Lytechinus pictus: one gene and its partner. The protein of the gene in region 2 purifies or fractionates together with the protein of the main gene of each other region. This does not show direct contact. Links are inferred from orthologs where the notes say so. Each region holds a gene or a part of one and is shown on either strand. Other genes may lie near its edges.

Region 1 (7,269 bases), on a different chromosome or scaffold from region 2:
AGCGAGCTAACAAGAAAGGGGAAGGTCCTATTTTTAAAGTCTTTGGTTTGACTCGGCCGGGGTTCGAAACCCATGACATCTTGTTCATGAAGCAGGCGCTCTACCACTGAGCCACCATGCATGGTGGCTCAGTACACGCATAGAGATGGTATTATGTGTCTCTCAGAATTGCTTAATTTTAGAAGTTAAAGATAGGAAGGGTAACTCGGTAAATCAATATGCTTCAAGAGAGTGCTCATCTCATCATCTGCAATATAGAATTTGTCATAGGCCTAAACTAAAGACTTGGTGGCGACCATGGACATGGTAACATCGGAGTGGGGGCATGCCCATGCCAGACACGACCGCAGACTGGTCGGACAATTTAAACCGTGTTGAATTGCGATTTGATTGTCCAGCTGAGCGATAAGTATACTGAGATGGGGGAGGGAGGCGAATGGCCGTAGTCAGACACAATTGCTGACCAGACAATTGAAACCATGCATTGAAACCATGCATGAGGTGCACTGTTTCAATTGTCTGGCCGAGTCTAACCTCTAGATCCAATCAACATTGCAAAACGTTTCCTTGACAAAACAAAGGCAAAGTCAGGATGCTGAAATAGTCATCGTTAACGTTAGTATTTTGCAAAGTAAAATCAAATTACAAAATTGCTTTGTCAAAATATGCAGAATCTACTAGTTTAACCTACCCATGATTCTACATGTTAAGGTTTTTTGCAGTATTTTTCCTTCTAAAATTTCCTTTTGCAAAGAAATTAGAAATTTGTTTCAGTCTTTGTTGAATATCTAGGCCTATTTGTCTATTTTTTTCAATGTTAATTTTCAACGTCCATCTAAATATATATATCTTGTATAACTTTGCATTGTTGAAGCAAGAGCCAAAAATTTCCCGGTCATATTGTGATGTGAACAGGATTTTTTTATCATGCACAAGCATTGGCACGAAGCTCTATGTGGGAGTAGCATAATGTTTAAAAATAGAAGTTCCGAGCAAAGTGAGTGAGAATTTTTTTTTACCTTTTCATACTTGATTTTGACAATGTGACATTCAGAAAATAACATATCTTACATTTATTTTTTTGTCTGGAAAAAAGCTGGTCGTGAAACTTTTGGGGCCATGCTCCATAAGTCCCAACCCTTCCATTTGTAAGCCAGTGCCATGTGAGTGGGGTCTGGGGAGGAGCCCCGGAACCTCTCGAGATTAAGCCATTTTAAACTTTAAAGATGGCCGCATTTTTCAATGAAATCATGGATAGGGGTGATACAAAACACAATACTTCAATGCAGAGGCGTAATAAGCCAGTTCACGGTTAGCTCATGATCAACTTTTCTCTAATGACCTTTGTGATTTTTCATTAGGATAAGCACTATCATTTTCAAATGGAGATGTTGCGTAAGCTTTACCTGTAGAGTATTCAAATTCTATGAACAAAAGGCATTGTATAGACCAAGTGACTAGAATAGTACATCAGGGATAAAGTTTGGAAATCTGTTTTATTGTCTGCCTTTGGCACATTTGACTATTGTTTAGGCTACTGTCAAATACCAGTGATTATGAAAGCTCTATTTATTACTCTTCAGCTTGGATATGATAAATTTTTTGAAAGGAATACATGAATCATCATCAAATCACAAATGCCTGTCAGTGAATTTGAAAGCCACCTTCATGGTTGTCTCCAATGACCTTTTTCTGCTCGTGCGCAGTTTACAACCATGAACAGGCTTATTAACCAAACACTCTGAGGGAGCACAACATGGGAAATTTTCTAAAAAGTCACGAGCGAGCAAGAAAATTTTGGCCTTGTGGAAATAAAATTCTAAGTTATTAAATGAAATTAAAAGGGGCATGTCTAGCCCTTGGCTAGGGACATTGACATAGGCAATGCTTGGACAGCAACTAAGGAACCTCTTGAAGTTCAGTGATTTATTGTCCCGATTGCAATACACACGTGGATGTGATATGTGGTCATCCCCCATCCCATTCTTTCTTCCCGGTCTTCATTTTTAATCCTTGGCAGCCCGGACGTGCTCTTGTATTCTTCTTTATCTGTTTTCAATTCAGCTTTCCCCCAAGCATTTTACTTAGCTCATTCTATTCTACCTTATTTCCCTCGTTTCTTTTTCCCTTTTCTCTCCCTTTCCCACCATGAATTCCCATTCCATTTTGTCATCTCTTTTCTCACTCATTTAATAGTATTTCAGGATGATTTCTTCTTTCTCACATGTTCTTTATTACTTCCTTTTCATGCTTTTCCACCTTCCTTCCGATTTACCTATTTTAGTATTTACTCTTCATTTTCGATCTTTCCCTTTTCTTTTACTTTTTTTCTTAAATTCCCTTTCCCTTTCTTTCTCCCCTTCCCGGTTCCCCCATTTTGTTAATTATCCTGGTGAGCTCCGCCAGGAGGGGCAGAGTGCCCCCCACCTGTGTTACACACGTGGTCTTCGAGCTTTGCATTTATCTCAATCTCTAGTCTAGTCTAGTAATTTTTCTAGTCCACTCATCTGCAGCTGCATTCCGTTTTTTTTTTCACTGGCATTGGCAAACTGGCTGGAGCTGGCAAAACAAAAAAAGCAGGATTGGCCAGCATGGCAGCCTGTATGGAGGCTATCAAATGCAAGTGCACATATAAAATACATTCATGATAATCATAACGTTACAGATACAGAAGAAGAGAGATCGCATGCAAAGTCAAATACAAACAAAAAATAATGAATGACTAAAATGAGAGCCTACACAGAATTGAATATGTGGGACAAATACAAAGTCACAGGGAAAACACAGTAATAATAACAATTTTTAACTATAACATCGCAATAAAACGTCATGGAATTCAACAAACCTATTTTCTGCCATTACGACATTATCGAAAATGTCACTGTCATCACACATTGAATCGTTATCCTCTTGAAATTGAGCCATTTCAAGCTGCGTCTACGTTGTATCGTCTGAGAAATGAATGAGACGATGCGTGGTGTTGTTGTGGCAGCATGCAGCATGCAATGATCGAGGTCTTCTTCCGGGAATTACGTGCATAGTACACAAACCACGTGGGTTGAAATTGGCGCTGCGTGTATTATATGTAGGCCGGGCGGCGCTCTGGGGACGCGGGGCGAATCCCCCCCCCCCCCCCCGGTTCCTCAGGTTAATTACAAACATAACAAAAAAGCGAAGAAAATGAAGGGAGCATAAAAAATATGATATGTTTTGGCGGTATGGTTATTAAAGTGTGTGTGTTTGTGGGGGGAGCTATATAAGGCTGTGCAGCATGCAAAAAAAAACACAATCAGGGCTGAAGCCCCACCCCATTAACCCCGGTTCCGCGACATCTGATATATATATATATATATATATATATATATATATATATATATATATGTAAACATCTCTGATATCTCTGACTCGGGGACAATGAATAAGCGCTGGCAGCGGGCCGGGCGTTGATGGGCTAGGGGGCAAAGTGCATGGGGAGAAAATTATGCCCCAAACTTTGAAAGGCAATTATAATACAGCATTTTGCCCTCTGTTAGTGCGATGAATAGTTGAACAATTTGTTTTGTGCATTAAAAGTCAAAATAATAATAATAAATTCATCACAAGCCGCGATCACCCCTCCGTCAATCATAAGTTTCTAATGCTAATGCGAAGCGCGACGTGAGCGATATAAATTTTTAATTAAACATTTTACCTGAAAATGGGAAATGGAAAGATTGTTTTGTAGGAATAATAAACAGGGTAATAATGAGAGCTGATTTTTTTTTTTACATTCAGACCGGAAAATGCACGTGATGCCTATAAACCAATACAGCGAGCGCGAAGCGCGAGCTGAATCAGATCACATGCACAGAGGGGCACGACGGGTTGTGACTGAGAGTGCCCTCCTATTATAGGTATTATAGACATCATCTTTGCAGCCAACATAATCAATACCGCAAAGACGCTCATTCCACAGGATTCCACAACCCTCAGTCTGTTCCGATCGTTCTTATAGAAGTAGGGCCTAGCTACTCTAGCTATTATGTTCACATAATTATCTCAATCTGATTATCCTAAGTAGGTCATTAAAATGAGGAGATATTGAAAACTGGCTGCTAATAATAATAGCCCAAAGCACTAGCTTATTCTCACATTTTGTTAGATTCCTACAACGTCCTTCAAATCATTCCCTCAATCCAAATTGTTTCTTTATTTGTTTAGCGTCAAGGGATACGGGAGGTGTTTTTTCGTATCTGTAAGCACATCTCAGCCAAAGAATTTTGAGGGGAGCATGGCGTGTCTGACAAAAAGTTGTCAGAGAGCGAAGCGAGTGAGTAAAAATTTAGAAATTTTTATTATAAATATCAAATTTTGTGATAGATTTTAAAATAATAATCAGAGAATAATATTACATTTCGACCTTCTATTTTTCCTTTTCTTTCTCTCTCTCTCTCTCTCTCTCTTTTTTTGGGGGGTGCTCCAAGCCCCCCTCCCCCATTTGTGCGCCACTACATTCTCAGTTATTCATGATAGAAAAGGGGAACAGGAGTCTGTTGCAGAAAGAGTTGCATTTAAACGCAAATCAAAAAATTAATCGCAAGTCCCAAATGCGCGCTGTTGAATGGTTGAAAATCAAATTGCGCATGATTTTTAGAGTAACGATTGATTGCAACTCTTTCTGCAGCGGGCCCCAGAAAGGGTGGAGCCTAGAGGTAGATGATTTTATGCATACGGACGGACAGATCGATAACGTACGAAAAGGATATAAAGATATAGGGCTATTGTTATTATTATTATTATTATTATTTGTTTGACGTCACCAGTGCCTAGGAGGCTACAAATATATGGAGAATGGGAGAGGGAGAGGGCATTGATATGAGGTAGGAAGTCTTAAAATAATACTAAAACAAGAAATGATAAGAATGATAAGAGAGATATCAACATGAGCAAAAAAAATACAACAAAAGAACCCCAAAATTGAAAACTTTGGAGAAAATGAGAATGACCAGATGAACAAAAACAACAACAATTCCGTAACAAGAATACGGATAAACGGCATTTCTCATGTACAAACATTCTTTTGTTACATCTTGTCACGATAGGCCTATATTTTGTACTGAAGCTGTCTAATTTGTGCTTTATGTGTACATAAACTATACAAACCTTTAAATATTGTAACTTGGTTCGATTAAAAAAATGAAATACGTAAATCATTAAAAAAAGGTCGACTGAAATCGAGTGATCATCGATCAACATTGCATAGAAAAATAACAACCAGCGGAGGTGCCAGGATTTTTTTTTATAATATTATATTTTTATTAATATACAAATATTAATTTTGATTATTGTTTTATTATTGTTTCGGCCTTCATTATGCATTTAAAACATATGGCTTGTTTACAATAATTAAGGGCGCCCGTTTTTCTTTTTAAACAAGATTTACCTTTTAGTGGACCCCTAGTTGTTTTTATTTAAATGTGCGATTTACCCGAAGATGTGGGGTACAGTATAAACAGATCTATTTGGATTTTTTGTGTGTGAATTCTTGAAATTAAAAGCTAAACACTAAGAAATAGGGTTTCAAATTTGATTCCTATATAGGGATTAGTATAGCAGCTGCACCCCGCACCCATATAATGCAGGTGCATATTAAAATGATTCAAATTTGAACCTTTATTACCAAAGGAACAAAGAACAAGAAAAGTAATGAGAAGAATCATGTCCCCCTTTGGATTTCCGCCGTTGCCTCATAAAATGTTTAATTAAAAAACAAAATCCAAGGACACGGCCCGTCTATCTAGTCATTACTAATGGGTGCAATTATGCTCGAATCTGTGCAGCATATTACACCCTATATCTAATAGGCATGATTGGGTGCAGTGTTAAACCTTGCAATAAAGGTTCAAATTTGAATCATTTTATTATCCTGGGTGCAAGTAATAATAAAAAAGTGCATTTTGCACCTTTTTCCACAGTTAGGGCGCAAGGGTACACCCTATAGGAGGTTGGTTCAAGTGTTTCATTTATAGGGTTAAACAAAATCTTAGTGTGTATATAGGCCTTATATTCTAAATAATTAAGACGAAAGATATGGAAAACAAGACAAGAAAAGAACAAGAGAAGTAATGAAGAGAACCATGTGTAAGGATATAGATAACAACATGATGTCGGAGTAACCTGCAGGCACAGACCCTGATTGAAACTTTGATCAACAAGTGTGTCTCCACTCAAAGACTATAGCACATACATGTACAAAACTTGCTGTTTCGAAGTACACAATTTATTAAGGCACGAGTAGGCTGCAATCCAGACCCTTTACTCGAGTGAAGGGTTTGCACAGCAGACTAATGTCGGAGTGCCATATAATTAAAAAACCTATTAGCTATTAAACAAACTTTGAACCTTCATGTCTCGTGTTGATTACACGAATGATACCATTATTGCCTCAGTCACACTTACACACCAAACCTGCAAACGATTGCATTTTGGCCATCATATAGAAATCATATCGATACTCCTATCATTGGGCATGTCTCGTGGGGTGTGACTGAGGGCTCACCGGTTTTGCGCACTTGGCATGCTTGGAGAAATAAGAACGCCTTCGTTTTTGTGGTCTTTGGAAATTGACATGGGAAGCAATTAACTACACGAAACATTATCCAAACAAAACATCAACGCGGCCATATCGAATAATATCCGTGTACGATTCCACCAAGTTAATTCTTTGCTCGAATTTCAAGATCGCTTGTAGAAGATTAAATGTTATTTTTTGGCTTGCTATTTGGAACGTGAAATCAGATGGATCGGAGTGTTTATTAAGTCTGATGTAAGTAGATGTTAATCTCCTTTGTCGTTGCTTAGAAAATGAATTGTTGGGTTTGATCTCTTGGCTTATTGCAGAGACACGAGGATATTCATGAGAATCGCGTACGCTGATTTTTATTAAAACCACGATTTGAGGGGATGTGAGCAAGTTTGGAAAAAGCAATATACAAGTCGTGTAGGCTGAGTTGCCAGTTCTGCTGGCCCTGTTCTTTAGAAAGATTGGTAAGGAGCTGGACATAGGAGTCATAATATTTACAAATAGGGCATGTCCAATAAGGAACTCATCCTCGTGATATTTTGTTGTGGTTTGAAATGTGATTCTGCTTCATATTCGACACTGGGTAAGCAATTTCTCTATTTTTTTTGAAGGTATCACAATATTTAAAAGGTTTAGAAGGTACTCGAGAAATGGAAAGAATTTACAACAAACAAGGTATCGGCCACTTCAACTTAAATGGCAAACAC
Region 2 (7,954 bases):
CATGAGCTAACCGTGAACTGGCTTATTGCAATCTGATGACCACACAGGCCAAGAAAAAAAAGGTGGTATATTTTCAAAGCAGATTTTTTTTTACTCTCATCTCCCTTTCATTCAGCCCCTGCCCCTCACAATCCTAAATGAATTTCAATCCCAATCAAGGATCTAGTATCATGTACTCCAACGTAACTTGTAATTTGGGCCTTCACCACATTTCCTTTTGCCGTTTCCAGAACAAAGAAAAAAGAAAATATTCATAAATCATGAAATTGAAAAATTAATGAAAAGTGAAGACTACAATACCCTGACATTTTGTTCCCAGCTCTTAATTCACTCTGCAACTCTGCAGAAGTGTTATTCAATCAAAGGGATCTGATGTTTGGATTTTTAAGCAAATAAAAACTCAAACTTCTTGCTCTTTGTTTTTCTCAAAATTTATGCATTCTATATAAAAAATCATTATGAACATTTCTGCTTTGTAATATTGTGTGACATTACATTCAATTGATTAATGAAAAATTGACCAAAATGTTAATGAAATTGCCGCCTTGACCAGAGAAAACAACCCATCCGGTCATACCAGCGGCGTAACAGGGGTCGGTGGCCAGGGGGGGCAAGAGCCAAAAATTTCCCGGTCATAATCATGGTATGAACAGGCGTAATGGAGAAATGAGGCAACAATTTTTAGAGGGCCAGATAGGCCTATTGCGTATCAGCAGAATTGATCTTTTTAAAAAAAATTGCGAGCGAGCGAAGCGAGCGAGCACAAATTTTGACATTTTTAATCCAAAAATTCAATTTTTTTGATATGCAGAGAATCATATATATCACCTTTCTCTCTTTCCATTCCTTGTTTTCGTGGTCTGTACGCCACTATGAACAGGATTCTTTGCGGCAGTAACGTGATGAGTATAAAAAACAAACAAATGAGGGGCGCAGTATGGCGCATGTGTTAAAAAAAGCTGCTTAATATAAGTCCCGAGCGAGCGAAGCGAGCGAGAAAAAAAATCACCTTTTAATGAGAATTTAACTTTGAGATATATTTTTACATAATATTCAGTAAAAAAATTATATCCTACACTTTTCCTTTGCCTTCCTTTCCTCCTTGTTTTTTGTTCTTGGTTGTAGAACTTTTTGGGGCCATGGCCCAACCCTACCATACTCATATACGAAGTGCTATGCGATTGGGGTCGGGGGCGGAGCCCCCGAACTTCTTGATATCAAAGCCATTTAAACCTCGCAGATTGCTGCTATTTTTAATCAAATATCGCGGGTATATACAGAATATAGCTTTTACACAACACATTTATTCAGCCCAGTTGCGTAATGAACCAAATATTTTGAGGGGGGGGGGGCAATGTGGGAATATTATTTTAATAAAAGTCGCCAGCGAGGTAAGCAAGCTGGAAAAAAAGATTGCCTACTGAACTTAAATTCTAATTATGTGATATATAGATTTTTTTTCATTCAGTAAATAACAAATTTCATTGTTTCCATTTGTTTCATTATACGTTGTCTCCTTTAATTTCTTTTATTTCCTTTGGGTTTGGAACCAAGACCCCCCGGGCCTGTACGCCATTCATTGAACGTAAAGCTTAATGTAAGAAGGGTCCCTACAGGGGGAAGTTATATAGAGCCATTTGAAGGTTATAGATGAAGAGCCCCTACTGCGTGGGGTCGGGGCAAAGCCCCGGTACCTTATTTGAATAAAATTTAGCAAGCTTACAGCGCAATGTTGTATGCAGTCCATCTTTCTTCCCGCTCTTCATTTTCAATCATCGGCAGCCCGGTCGTGTTATTAAGTGTTTTGTTTTTCTTGTCCCTTTTCTTCGTTTTCCACCTTCAGCTTTTGACTAATTCCCTTCTAACTTCATTTCCCGCTATTGTTTGTCATTTGTCATCTTTTAATTAATTTCCCATCACACTATTGCATTACATAGGCCTATTTCGGAATGATTTATCCTTTCTCAAATGTTCTTCTTTCGTTCCTTTTCCCGCTGTCCTTCCTTCCTATTCTGTTAAAAAAATATATATTTATCTTCGTTTTCTTTTCCATTTCCCTTTCCTTCTCCTCCTTTCCTTTTCCCCGTTTCCCTTTCTTTCTCCCTCCCTTTTTTCTTTTTCCCGTTTTTTTTAATTTTTCCCGGTGAAATTCGCCAGGGGGGGCAGCTTGCCCCCCCGCCTGTTACGCCACTGGGTCATACAACAAACGGAGACTCATGATACAGGGACTCGGCTTCGTACAACTGCAAGAGACACCTTGATTCTACTTCTAGGTTAATTTTTTTTAGAATTAGACCTAGTCATCTAAATTTGATTTAGATTTTAGAGTATACTTTTTTATTTCAAATATTGATAAAGATCTACGTCGTAGCCATACGCAATCTATGCCAAAACAATTTTTGAAACTAAAAAAATATCAGCAAATTAAAAAAGGGCGTAGATCTAGGCCTAACGTTAATCCCTAAAATATTAAAAACACTTTCATAACAATTCCCACCCCCCGGCCCTAGGCTAGCATGCCTATAAATTTCTTCAATAAACAATGCGGAACGTCAAGAATCATACTGCCTTTTACTGGCTAAAAACTGGACTAGATTTATGTCTAGTCTACACACAAAGATAGTGCATGGTGTTGCACCATATAGTGCCAATAGTACAGATCTTCACCTCCAGTGAACATTGCCGCTGATTAACCCCCATGCATGGCCATTCATTCATTCATTCATTCCACATCCATTTCCCACACAGAAACCGCGCGATCGCGCTCCTCGGCAAATGATGCCCACAGGACAATTATGATCAATTCTCTACGCACTATTCTTCGCTTACCGTATAAAATAACAAATTTTCTTTCTTCCTCTTACTCTTATCCTAAGTTGGCAAAAAATGGTGCACGAATTGCCGTTCTTTTATGGTTGTCTTGCAGATAATTTACTTCCAGACTGCTCGAAGTTCTTGTGACATGACACCATACTAGGCATAGCATGACACACACATGTGTACATTTCAATCACCGAAAATTATCGAGAGATGGCGCTCTTTAACAAAATTTTGGAGAGCCTATGTTCAGAGGAAAGACCACGGGGGCGGCACAGAGGGCACCTTGATGGGATGGGGAGGGGTGGTCGGGGGAGGGCAAGACGACTTATATGGGACGCCAACATTTTCTCCATTGAATTATATGGTTATTATAACGTAACACGACCCAAGCCTCTCCTTTTCATACTCTTCGATCCCTATATTTCCCTTCCCCTTTTTCGTCAGTCCCTCATTTTAAATACTTCAAAAATCATAGGTGCCGATCACCCCTGCTCCCTCTGTGGCTACATCCCTGCGTTTAGACCAAGTTGATGAATATAAACCGTTTGGACTGCCCTGCTCCCGGCAATCAATTGATCAAGGCGTCTCAAATTTCGATCCTTTGAAGTTTTATTTGAAACTTTGATTGCCCATTAACTCTGCTTTCATTAGGAAATAATATGGTAAGAGGCTATTCAAATTAGGGAGAAGAAAAATGGACACTCATCACTTTATGTTAATAGGCCTATATGATCTGTTTCCTGATTATTGTCCCTATTTTATTCCTCTATAAGATATGGATCACTGATTTTTTTTTTTTTTTTTTTTTTTTGGGGGGGGGTCAGTGGCGTAATAAACCAAACTTTTGAGGGGCAAGATATGGATTATGCGGCAAAATTCATAAAAAAGTTGCGAGAAAGGGAAGATAGTGAGCTAATATTTTCGACATTTTTATTCCAAAAATCTGATTTTGTGATTGATTTGACATAATTTTCAAAATATAATATCACATTTTACCCTTCTCTCTTTCCTTAGCCCCCCCCCCCCCCCTTGGAGGTGAAAAATTGAAAGACGGAGCCCCAAGCCCCCCCCCCCCCCCACAGTGTGCGCCAATGGGGGGGGGAGGGTCATTACTATCATTAATTGAAAACCGGAGCAGCTAACTATGAAAGATTTGAGATTAAACCAATCTATCAGAATTTTGTACGACACTCAAACGTCATCCCCATCATAAAGGACGATCTCTGCTATACAGTGCGTATCCAAAAAAAAGTTTACACTTAGAAAAAATCCTGTAAAATTATACATTTGTAATATCCTGAAGATTTTTCCTCATTTTAACATTGGTACAGATCCATTTAAGGAAATGACGATATAACTGTTGAAAAATATTTCCGCTTGAGTGAGCACCACTTACTTTTGAAAAGTTAGTGAAACATGATTTGCGCAGAACTTTGAAATAGTTATGCGAATAAAAGTAGACCTTAATCATGAAGAACACGTGGAATTTAGCAAGTAAAATTGATTTGAAGATATATTTTAGCTTTTCAAACTTGTTTCCTTGCCCAAAACACTTCGAAGAGTGTATCGCGCCCCATCCCACTCCCCCACACTCCGAGGTCATTGTGACGATATTTGCTTTACACTGAGCTGTAATTTACATGATTGATTGATTGATTGATTGCATTTATTCTTTTTCATGAAATGGCTAAGGCTTGATTTTCATTTTGTTAATCATTGTCAAGCTTGGGAAAAGTGTGGAGAAACAAGTATTTAATGAAAAAAATGAAATGTAACCCACTTTAAATGATACAAACTTAAGTAAAAAAAAATGCTGGAGATGTCTGATATAAACTTTGTTCAGATTCAGTTATGTCCTCAGATCCAGCTGGCACAAAAGGGGTAAAGGTTGTGCTTACTAAGTGTTGAAATTTCAATTTGGGTGGCAATATTGTTACAAAATTCTTGAATGTATCCGTTTTATTGCAATTCACTAAAAGTGGAAATGTATGAGAAATGTGTCGCAGGGTAAGTTTGATTTCGCCCGGAAACCTTGACACAGCGTGAAAACAAGCATTTCTGCGCAAACAGATTTCTGCGAGCTTTACAAAAATCGACAGTGCTCACTTAAGTGTAACATTCTGTCAAAACCTTTACTTTCATCGGATAGATAAGACCCAAGCCCAAGATTATATGTGAAAAAATTACCCACATGTTGTATATTTTTTAATTCCCAGGTCATTTTCAAAGTGTAAACTTTTTTTTTATACGCACTGTATAAGCCAGTAGCGTTGATTTAATTTCCAAGGGCGAGTGGAAAGAGAAAATATTTTTTTGAATTCAAGTTTATTGACGTAGATTTTTAATATGTAAATACAAAAACATGCTTAGATCTTAATGATGTCCGAGTGAAAGCCACGTTAACTGTGTCCTTATTTTCGGAATTGATGGAATGCGATCACAAACATTATTATACAACAATTTGAGTGGATACCTTATCAGAGGACTACCAAAATGGAATGAATTCTTTTGTTTGAATAACAAGAAACAAATGTTTTTGACATGATACTTTATCTGTAATTAGAAATTGTATTTCTAATCTTGATGAGAAAGTGAAACCAGTGGCGGATTTAGTAGCCTATAACCTAGGCGGAGGCTGCAGTTATTGTCTTTGCTGTTAAGCTGAACGCAAGCGATACGTCTGATCTGGAAAAGACTACGCATTGCATTGACCGTCGCAGCCACAAATGCGTAGTCTTCGCAAGATCAGACGTATCGCTTACATTCAGCATAACAGCAAAGACAATAACTGCAGCCTCCTCCTAGATTATAGGCTACGGATTTAGGGATGCATGACCCTTGCTCCAATCAAACAAGATTTTGGTATACTAACCCCCCCCCCCCTCCCATGGGTTAACCTTATGACGGATTATACACCCGTCGGCGATCACTGATTTTTTAACCCATCCCGAAACGCATTATCGGTCAATACCAGGGGGGGGGGGGGGGAGTCATTACTACCATTAAGTGAAATCCAGAGCAGCTAACTATTAAAGGAGAACGAAACCCTTGAAACTAGCTGAATCCATATCAAAGAGAAAAATAAAAGAAACATATTGTTGAAAGTTTGAGGAAGATTGAATGAATAATAAGAAAGTTATGAGCATTTGAATATTGAGATCACTAGTGCCATGTAGATCCTCCCATCGGCAATGCGACCAAGATCTGTGATATCACACACGTACAACTCCCTCATTACTTTAGTACTTATTTCACTTATATTCTCACTTTTATAGAGTCTATCACAATGTTAGGTGTTTTCTTTATGAGATGAAAAGTACAGAGGTTTCACAACATTATCATTGATGAATCGTTTGTCATATGATTAGAATGAGCAAAAAGAAATGTTTTGGGGTATATTTTCAGTGTCCGAATGGGAGAGTTGTACGTGTGTGACATCACAGATCTTGGTCGCATTGCCAATGGGAGGATCTCCATAGCATTAGTGATCTCGACATTCAAATGCTCATAACTCTTTTATTGCTAGTCCTATTTTACTCAAAGTTTTGTTGATCTTATTCTTTTATTTTTCTGCTTTCACAAAAGCTAACTTGCTCCAAGAGTTTCATTCTCCTTTAAAGATTAAACCAATCAAACAGAATCACGGAGAGGTGCGGTGGCCAAGTGGTCTAAAGATGCGCCCGAATACACCACGGAAGTTTCGGGTTCGATTCCCTTGACCAAGGCAATTTTATATACATTGCTCTTTTATCTTACATCAACTTTATGTTCAATATACTAATCACTTGGTTCCACGCAATTTCACTATTCAATACGCAATGCCTAGCTTCATGACCACAATACCGAAGATTCCAACAATTTTTACCTTAGTAATCCCAAAACAGTACTTGCTTATAAATCCATTTGACATAGAGGACCCAATGTTTGGCACTCATTGCCTCATAAAATAAAAGAATGTTCTTCGTTTTATTCTTTTAACGTAAGCTAAAAGATATATCATAAAATATCATATGACTCATAAATTTTCTTAAAGTGTATTTAGATCATTTATATATTGTTACACTGATCAGTTTCCGGTGGGGGAGGGGGGTTATAGGACCCCCGTACATTTTTTTCCTCATGTTTTCATTTGAACCTAATTTCAATGTATGTATTGCCATAATCAGTGGCGTAACTACGGGGGGGCATGGGGGCACGTGCCCTCCCCCCCAATCAGCTGGCCCCCCCAAAAAAAAAACGGGTAAAAGAAGAAAAAGAGGGAGAAAAAAAAGAAAAACGTATGTTTTAGTGAGAGACAACTATAGTTGTGGGGGATGAAGAAATTATTGTATATTATATTATACTATGTTATAATATATTTATTACATTGTATTATATTACATAAGAATATTTTTCATAACTTTATGAAACATAATTTGCTTAGGGCCTATGTGTTCATCATTCCTGGTGCTCGCATTGTCTGTTTAATTCCTGTTGTACTAAAACATCCCGGTCAAGTCAATATATACACCAAATAGGCCTATAGTTCCAGTTATTATTGTTTTACGTAGTGGCATAACATTATGCTTCTTTTTCATGATTACCTAAAGTGATTGCACCCTTTTAAGGTCTGAATATAAAAAAATTCCACTAACGTTCGCGTTAGTGGATTGGTGAGATATGTTAGCTCTTCATGAATTCCTAAAAAAAACAATTCTTAAAACGTCCCTTTTTCTAGTCTGAATCAGTGGCGTAGCTACGGGGGGGGGGGCCTGGGGGGCACGTGCCCCCCCCCCCTGAGATTTGGTGTGCCCCCCCCAAGTGCCCCCCCCCCTGAAAAAAATTGGCAGAGCAAAAAAAAAGGAGAAAGAAGAAAAAAAAAGGAAAAGAAGAAGAAAGACAGAAGAAAAAAAGAAGAGGAAAATAAGAGGAGGAAGACGAGTGAATGAAATAATGTGAAGGGAAGACTTGCAAAAAAAACACAAATCTTTCATGTTACTATATAAAACTTTTGCTTGCGCTTCGCGCCAGAATTGCCTGTTCGATGAAATTCATATCTTGCTCAATAGGCTGATATGGAGCAAATTTTGAAGTCAAAATACAAAATATATTTTAGCTTCGGACATCGAGCTCTCATCATTTTTTTTTTCATTAA

The links. Proteins that work in one complex are often made in the same cells at the same time.
Region 1: the proteins of ATP-binding cassette sub-family E member 1-like (region 2) and protein LTO1 homolog purify together in Homo sapiens (affinity purification with mass spectrometry; 4 studies listed by BioGRID and IntAct, with this or other methods). This does not show direct contact. The link is inferred for Lytechinus pictus from reciprocal best matches to the Homo sapiens genes ABCE1 and LTO1.

What each region holds. Positions count from the first base shown.
Region 1 is NC_087263.1:4,631,390-4,638,658, forward strand, and holds the start of protein LTO1 homolog, read right to left. Parts: upstream 3,008-7,269; 5' UTR 2,926-3,007; coding exon 2,846-2,925; intron 1-2,845. UniProt on the Homo sapiens protein: The complex LTO1:YAE1 functions as a target specific adapter that probably recruits apo-ABCE1 to the cytosolic iron-sulfur protein assembly (CIA) complex machinery. May be required for biogenesis of the large ribosomal subunit and initiation of translation.
Region 2 is NW_026974140.1:13,119,933-13,127,886, forward strand, and holds the start of ATP-binding cassette sub-family E member 1-like, read right to left. Parts: upstream 3,023-7,954; 5' UTR 2,830-3,022; intron 1-2,829. UniProt on the Homo sapiens protein: Nucleoside-triphosphatase (NTPase) involved in ribosome recycling by mediating ribosome disassembly. Able to hydrolyze ATP, GTP, UTP and CTP. Splits ribosomes into free 60S subunits and tRNA- and mRNA-bound 40S subunits.